Linked DNA regions of Drosophila melanogaster. The protein of the gene in region 1 interacts with the protein of each later gene in a pairwise test. Each region holds a gene or a part of one and is shown in the gene's direction. Other genes may lie near its edges.

Region 1 (3,600 bases):
CGGAAATTTGTCGGGTATCCTCGAAAGCCAAAGAAAATAATTGTGCTACGTAAATTTGGAAAAGCAACTAGGGACTATAGCTGTTTAAATATCTGTCCGGTCTAGAAACGCATCCGCCTTGGTCCCGTCGCACGTTTACGCACTACTTCGTTGCCATTGGTTGCCTGTTGTCGTTTCCTCGGTGTACAGCTGCTGAAATTTGTGGTCTTCAAGGCTGTGGATATATCTACGGGGATCACTACCTCGCCAGTCTCCTCAGCCTGCTGCGGTGCTGGCTGCTCCTGCGGTGCTGGCTGCTCTTGCTCCACCACGGGTATGAAATCGGCATCCTCTTCTTTCTGAGTGTTCTCCTCTGTAAATAAAGTACGACGCACGCAGCGCCTCGCTGTTGGCGGCGTTGAATCCTCCTCGGTATCCTCCTCATCATCGGTGGTTGGATTACATCGGGCGCTGGCCCGTCGTGCAAAGGAAATGCTGCACAGTGGCGGAATCAGAGTGGATCGTTTGAGGCTTGTCAGACCCCGATCGTAGACAGCCAGGCAGATTTCAAAGCCGCTCACTTGACCGCCGGGCAGAAAGGTGCTCCGATAGCCCAAAGTAAGGTGGACCGCGCATGACTCGCCCATGTCCAGGCCGCCGTAGATATGTTCATTACGCTTGTTCAACAGGCCACACGCCTCCACATACTTCAGGGAGTTCAAATTGTAGCTCGATGGACGGGGCGGTGTGATCAGGGTTGAGGAAAACTTTTCATTTACCTCCTCGTCATCGCTCTCTGGACGCACATGCAGAGTGGTGCCTGTGCGCTCCTTCTCCTCGTAGATGCGACGACGTTCCGAGTCAAACGATCTGCCGAAGCGCGCCTTCAGCAGAAGTTCGTCGCCCCACTCAATTTGTGCTGCTTCCTCGAATCCCTCGTGCTTGTAGCGCATTGTCAACTGGTTTCTCAAAAATCCGGTGATTGCCTTGGCGCCACGCACATTTCGACTGTAGAAGCTGAGGATGCAGTCCTCCCCCAGGTCGCGGCGTATGGTCCCATCATCTACGCCATTGATGAACTCATGGATCACCTCCAAAGGCGTCTCCTCTGAAAATAAAGCAAGCGGATGAGATGCGATGCGATTCCTATTGATCAGCCCAATCGCATACAGCTGTTATCCGTTGGTTTGCCACTTACTATGTTCTTCTGGAGCGCTCATTTCCTTCAAGTATTTTCATGCGATTGCGCTTATAAAAAATAAATATAATTTACAATATATACAATTCGACTTGGACACTATGTTGTTGATACAACAATGTTTTGGTAATATGCCATATCGGCCAGTGTTGAAAGTGACGCTAGCTATCGGCTCGAGGGGTCAGGGGTCAGCGCCTACTTGTAATTCGGCTACTGTTGTCCCGATAAATCTTTACGTTAGTTGTACTTGTAAAAATCACATTACTTTAATCTGTTAAGTCTATTAATATTGTTTGATTTTTATTTAAACGTTAATTGTTAATACCATATATCGCATGCACACTTGAGGGGCGATAGTTGGCATTCCGCTGAGAACTGGTCACACCGCACAGCGGGCCAAGCTCTATAACCGATACTAGAGGTGGAGAAACATCGATGTTGGCGGACTCAATGTTTTCGATGTGTTTGGCGAAAAACATCGATCTTTGGCAGACTTAGTCGTTTACAACTTAAGAATTATTTTCTTCTTTAATATTGCTAACATAATATTGCTTTTCATACGTCGCCGGTCCAGTAAGTGCTCCCATAAAACAAAAATACTAATTAGTCCAATTCAATGGATAAGTAAGCCAGTATACATACGAGCACGTGCACGCTTACACGTTTATGGAAAATTAATTTTTACGTACAATTTATACACTTTTATCTCCGATGCGCAGTATCGATGGAAAACCATCGATGATTCCTCGAAACACATCGATGCTTGTGATTTTTCGAAAACATCGATGACATCGAGTTGGCATCGATGTTTCTCCACCTCTAACCGATACCTTCTATCATACATTGAAGACGGATTAGCACCGTCGACCACGAAAAAAGAACGCAAGGAAATCGTGCAAAATGTTCAAAAAGTACGTATGGCATGAGTTAGATGGGGACATCAGACTAACCATAGCAATTCGATCTGTGCAGATTCGAAGAGAAGGACAGCATTTCCAGCATTCAGCAGCTGAAGTCGTCTGTGCAGAAGGGCATACGTGCCAAGTTGCTGGAGGCCTATCCCAAGTTGGAGAGTCACATCGACCTGATCCTGCCCAAGAAGGACTCGTACCGCATCGCCAAGTGGTAGGATGGCTCAGTTCTTGCCACAGCACATAACTCCATTCATATTCCCGATCCCTACTCCTCCACCAGCCATGACCACATCGAACTGCTGCTAAACGGAGCCGGCGACCAGGTGTTCTTTCGCCACCGCGATGGCCCCTGGATGCCTACCCTGCGCCTCCTGCACAAGTTCCCCTACTTCGTGACCATGCAGCAAGTGGACAAAGGCGCCATCCGCTTCGTCCTGAGCGGAGCGAACGTCATGTGTCCCGGCCTCACATCGCCAGGCGCCTGTATGACGCCGGCCGACAAGGACACCGTGGTGGCCATCATGGCTGAGGGCAAGGAGCACGCCCTGGCCGTTGGACTCCTCACGTTATCCACACAGGAAATGTAAGTGTGCTTCTACCACTTCTTTAGTAGTTAATATCTAAGAATATTAATTTATATGCTTGCATTTAGTTTACTTAAATGTGTTTAAATGTTCGTCTTTGACATTGTTTTATAATACAAACGTAGTAGTTTGTTGCTAGGTTAAATATGGTAAAGCTTTGTAACTTTGAAATATTCTTGAGCTTGGAAAAATCAAATTGTGAAAGAATAATCATAAATGGACAATGTTACCAATTTGCTGAGCCGTGTGCATATTTTTTAAATTTGAATAAACCATGAACATCTTTCTTTTCTCTTGACTTTTCCACAGTCTGGCGAAGAACAAAGGCATCGGTATCGAGACGTACCACTTCCTCAACGACGGCCTGTGGAAGTCGAAGCCCGTGAAGTAGGCGAAATAGGAATCTGCACTTGCACTTTTTAGTCTTCTATGTCATGAGAGCAAAGAATGGTTTTTGATATACGCAACTGAGTCCTGATTATTATTTTTTTCTACTAATTTTACTCTGTCAGTTAAACTATTTAAAACATTGCGAAATATAATTAATGGCATTTCAAGCGAGCAGAGAGGGATTGAAAGAGAGAGTACTGAAAAAGAAAACCAACCACCTGTGGAGACCAGTGGTCCAGGTGAAAGGTGTCCAGTGGATCTAAATTTGAGCATTTTAATCGGATTCGGCAGGTATGACTGAACATTGAGTCTTCTGTTTGGCGGTCTTCATTCTGTTAGCTCTTATTTTAAGAGTGACTGAATAACTGTGACTCCTTTTGTTTATTGATTAGTCTAAAGAGCAACGAAACAAGGCCTGTAGCTTAAAGTTTGCCAGGGCTGCGAACAACTCATACAAACATTTCAAGGTTATAGTTGATATCCGGGCACTTGTGAATACACGAAAAGATTGTATACAAAAAAGAGCTTATAACTA
Region 2 (4,137 bases), on another chromosome or scaffold:
CTCCCAGCAGGGAGAACCGCAAAACGGAACGGGATTGAAGACACGGAGAACCGGCAAAATTTTACTTTTTTTGCGGTCAGTTACTCAATGTATTGACAGCCGTTCCAGCTGCCATCCATTTTGGGAGAAGTCCGCTTTTTTCAGCGCTTACTTTTTGCGAAAGTTGCTGGTGGTGGATGCCACACAGCCCCTTTGAAGAGTCTTCAATCCGACCCGATCCCATCCAGAGCTGGTCCGCTCACTCATCCACTCGCTCGTGGGCCGCTGGTATGTGTCTCTGTTTCCCTACGTTTTTTATTAGATCACGATTTGGATGTTAGCAAACATTCGCGCATACCAAGCTGCCAACCATGATCAACGGGCCCAAACAACTACAATGGGGGTCTATGCATAATCGCAGCTCACAACGAGATTCTTCACTCGGCTTTTGCCTACGAAAAAGTCAGGAGCGGCTAGAGGTTCTATCTAATATCAGGGATATTTCAAATCGTAAGCTAATCTGAATCAGCTCTACTGACTCACACTCTGCAGTGTGAAATATGTGAACCATCTGTTCATAACATAACTTTTGGAAATATTACAATCCATCTTCCAAAGTTCGGCCATAAATTTCCCTTTTTCCTGCTGCTTTCCGAGCGCCCTATTTCCATGCCCTTCATCACGAAGGCCGCCTCTGCGCAGCCGCAGAAGTTTCGTTTCAGTAGAGATGCTCGTTTGCCTCAAAAAAGAAATATAAAAACAAAACCCAGCAGAAAAACAAAAAACTGTGCCTCTTTCTGGTTTTTCACGTTACTCGGGCGCGCAGTTGTTGTTGCAGTTGCAGTTGCAGCAGTTGTTGTTGCAGTTGCAGTTTTCGTACGCACGTCTTCACATTGCCAAGTTATGCATGTGTGTGTGACTAGCACACTGAGAAGAAATTGCGTTAAGTTTCTAAAATATTTCAGAAACCATTTCGAGTTGAAGGTTATCCAAAAGTATCAACTATTTTAAACCAATTTTAAACCTAAGACTACAATGCTTTTGTGACAAGTTTCTCAAGCTATTTTCCCAATTATTTCTCCAAGTGCAACCGTACAAGTATGCGATTGTGAATGTGTTTCTGCACTTCGCTATATTGTGTCTAATGTTGCATAGATACATATGTATATATTTTTTGTAGGTTTTCACGTTTTTATGTTGTTTGAACTTTGTTGTTTCAGTTGTTATTGGAGTAACTGCAGTATGGTTGTTGTTTATGGCTGCCTTTAGAGTCGTTTTCCGACATTTAAAATGGCAAAAACGGGGCGCAGTTTTGTCGTCTGACATTTACTTCTGCCGTTAAGATCGAATTCAAACTGAGGATTTGCAAACTCTTGCTTTTTCATGCGTTATTTCGCTGCTTACGTTGGTCGAGAACAGGTTTCGGTTTTAGCTGTTCCTCCGGACTATTGTTGTTATTTTAATTTACTACTATTGTTCGCGAGTTTGCATTAATTATTAAAAATCGCGGGCAAGGAATTCGAATTCGATCCGCTTCTTCCGAAGAAACCAATAAAACTGAACCGTCGCGTTCGGCGCTGAGAAACGAACTGAATCTTTCTTGGCATTGGGAGTCTAAGATACAGACACACAGATACTCACATTCACTTGCGTGCCTGTGTGAGTGGGCCACCGAGAGAAAGAGGGAACAAGAGAGAGAGAGAGAGATGGAGTCCAGGTGAGAGTTCCCGATCTTGGCCCGCCTTTGATAAGTGCAGCGAAAATTGTTGGCATTTCTTTTCAATCATTTAGCTCGATAAACAGTGCTGCATTCAATGTCTTTCCCTCAAAGAATTACTGAGATTTCTCCACTTATCTATCTGATAGCCTCGAGATCTGGAGAAAGACCCAGAGAAAAGTCGGGGGAGGTTTCTTAATGCCTCTTGTCTACCTGCAGGATGTTTGCCGCATTCATTGAACTGCTTTCTTTGTGCAAGCAAATGTCAAACCAAATGTTTGGTTTTGAAATAGCTAGCCGACATTAGAACTCTAAGATAAATGTGGAAATACACAGAAAATATACGAAATATCATATCATCAATATATATCATAAAGAGAAGAGTGGTTGTAGTTAACTAAATCAAAACCCATAAATTATATTGATTGCTTTCAATAGTGAAATACCGACGATTTGGCATTATATTAATTTTTTCCGAATTTATATTTTCAAAGCGTTTAAAAGTCCCCACAGCACCTTATCCACCTCAATTTCAAATCGACCGCGCAGCGAACTCAACACGACCGTTCATCGTGTGGCATATCTCCCATCTATAGCAACCACCTTCCCCGATATCAGCTGACTTATCAGCTGTTCCGTACGGCAATCCGCAGTTGGGCACGCACTCACGTAGCGCTACAGTCAGAAAACCCATGTAAAAAGTCCCTTATAACTAAGTTAATAAATAAATAAACATAAAAGTAGAAAAATGAGCCCCTCAATCAGCGCGGAAGACAAGCTAGACTATGTAAAGAGCAAGATTGGCGAGTATCCGAACTTCCCAAAGGAGGGCATTCTGTTCCGGTGAGTTATCGTCACTCGAGGTTATTAGATTGGAGCACTAATAGTGCTGCGATGATGATTATGGGCGAGCAAATGGACCCTTATCAGGTTGTTAATGTGTAAAATCATTTGTTTTCATATTAAACATCAGTGACATATTCGGAGCCCTCACCGATCCGAAGGCATGTGTGTACTTGCGCGATTTGCTTGTTGATCACATCCGGGAAAGTGCTCCCGAGGCGGAGGTCATCGTGGGACTGGACTCGCGGGGCTTCCTCTTTAATCTCCTCATAGCCACCGAGCTGGGCCTGGGATGTGCTCCGATTCGCAAGAAGGGCAAGCTGGCGGGAGAAGTGGTTTCCGTGGAATACAAACTGGAGTACGGTATTGTGAGTACTCCCAAATATATTACTTACTATTCCCAAGCACAAAGATGTTTATGCTTTCAACTTAATTATCCCAGGACACCTTTGAGCTGCAAAAATCCGCCATCAAGCCCGGCCAAAAAGTCGTTGTCGTTGACGATCTACTAGCCACAGGTGGTTCCCTGGTGGCCGCCACTGAACTCATCGGCAAGGTGGGTGGCGTTGTCGTGGAGAGCCTGGTGGTCATGGAACTAGTTGGACTGGAGGGTCGCAAAAGGCTGGATGGAAAAGTGCATTCCCTCATTAAGTACTGAGAGTTAATCGAATTGTGACGAAGCCTTCCACACTTGCATTTACCTATTCAACTAGCAAATTTTTATAAAAACTAGACAGACGCATATTTTTATAACGAAATATATTTGGCTCTGATAACAGAATCGTATAATCTCTCAATGAAACATAGCTTATTTTATTTTGAATAATAATACATGGGTTGACTATTACGGTGAAACATTTGTATAAGCAAAAAGTATGTAAAACAGCGACAAAAGCAAAAATAAATAACGAAACTTGGATATCGAAAACTATTTTTGGATAGTTTTCCGAACATAAATTAAATAATCTATTTTAAATTTTGGTGTTGTTATAGGGTTTTTAGGTATGTATATATTAAAGAATATATTACTTAAAAAAAGTGCACATGAAAATAATTATTAATTTAACTTTTCCAGCTATTTACGTACATTAAATTTTCTTTAATTATTAGCAATCCAAAAAGTATGCTTTGAAATATGTTACGTGAGTAAGAAGCAACAATGCAAACGGATGAAATTCAAACCAAGATTAACGGATGTCTTTAAATGGGTAAACATTTTTAACTGCTTAAAAATTATATCAAAAATATATTTTCTAAAAAACGATTTTCTCTCTCTGCGCACTCACTGCACTCTCACCTCCCTCTCTCTCTCTCTTGGCACATTCACTGATTTCGTCGCTCTCAAGTTTACCGTTACCGGCGCCTTTGCTCAGCGATAAACAAAAATTGTTGTGCTGCGTTAACCCAGAATTCGAGGAACTTCCGCCCCCGCCCAGCCCGCCGATAAACAAATCACACCAACCCAACAACCCCCCGAAAAGACACGGAAAAATAGCAACAAACCGAGCGCGCAAGGAAAAATCAAGGAATCAAGGAGCGGAGAGCCAGAAGGAAGAGAGAATGGAGACTGGCAAAAAGCGAAACTGCGCAGCCACTGC

The links.
Region 2: the proteins of MCTS1 (region 1) and Aprt interact in a two-hybrid assay, tested with the Drosophila melanogaster proteins (one large-scale study listed by BioGRID).

Annotation. Positions count from the first base shown.
Region 1 is NC_004354.4:6,035,892-6,039,491, forward strand, and holds the start of MCTS1 (malignant T cell amplified sequence 1), read left to right. Parts: upstream 1-2,000; 5' UTR 2,001-2,077; coding exon 2,078-2,088; intron 2,089-2,149; coding exon 2,150-2,302; intron 2,303-2,371; coding exon 2,372-2,674; intron 2,675-2,984; coding exon 2,985-3,066; 3' UTR 3,067-3,600. Other genes in the region: rux (roughex), read right to left, coding at 102-1,087, 1,178-1,199. UniProt on the Drosophila melanogaster protein: Regulates translation as part of a complex with DENR. Specifically required for translational re-initiation in mRNAs containing upstream open reading frames (uORFs). Not required for standard translational initiation.
Region 2 is NT_037436.4:1,883,093-1,887,229, reverse strand, and holds Aprt (adenine phosphoribosyltransferase), read left to right. Parts: upstream 1-2,210; 5' UTR 2,211-2,444; coding exon 2,445-2,539; intron 2,540-2,669; coding exon 2,670-2,907; intron 2,908-2,981; coding exon 2,982-3,197; 3' UTR 3,198-3,338; downstream 3,339-4,137.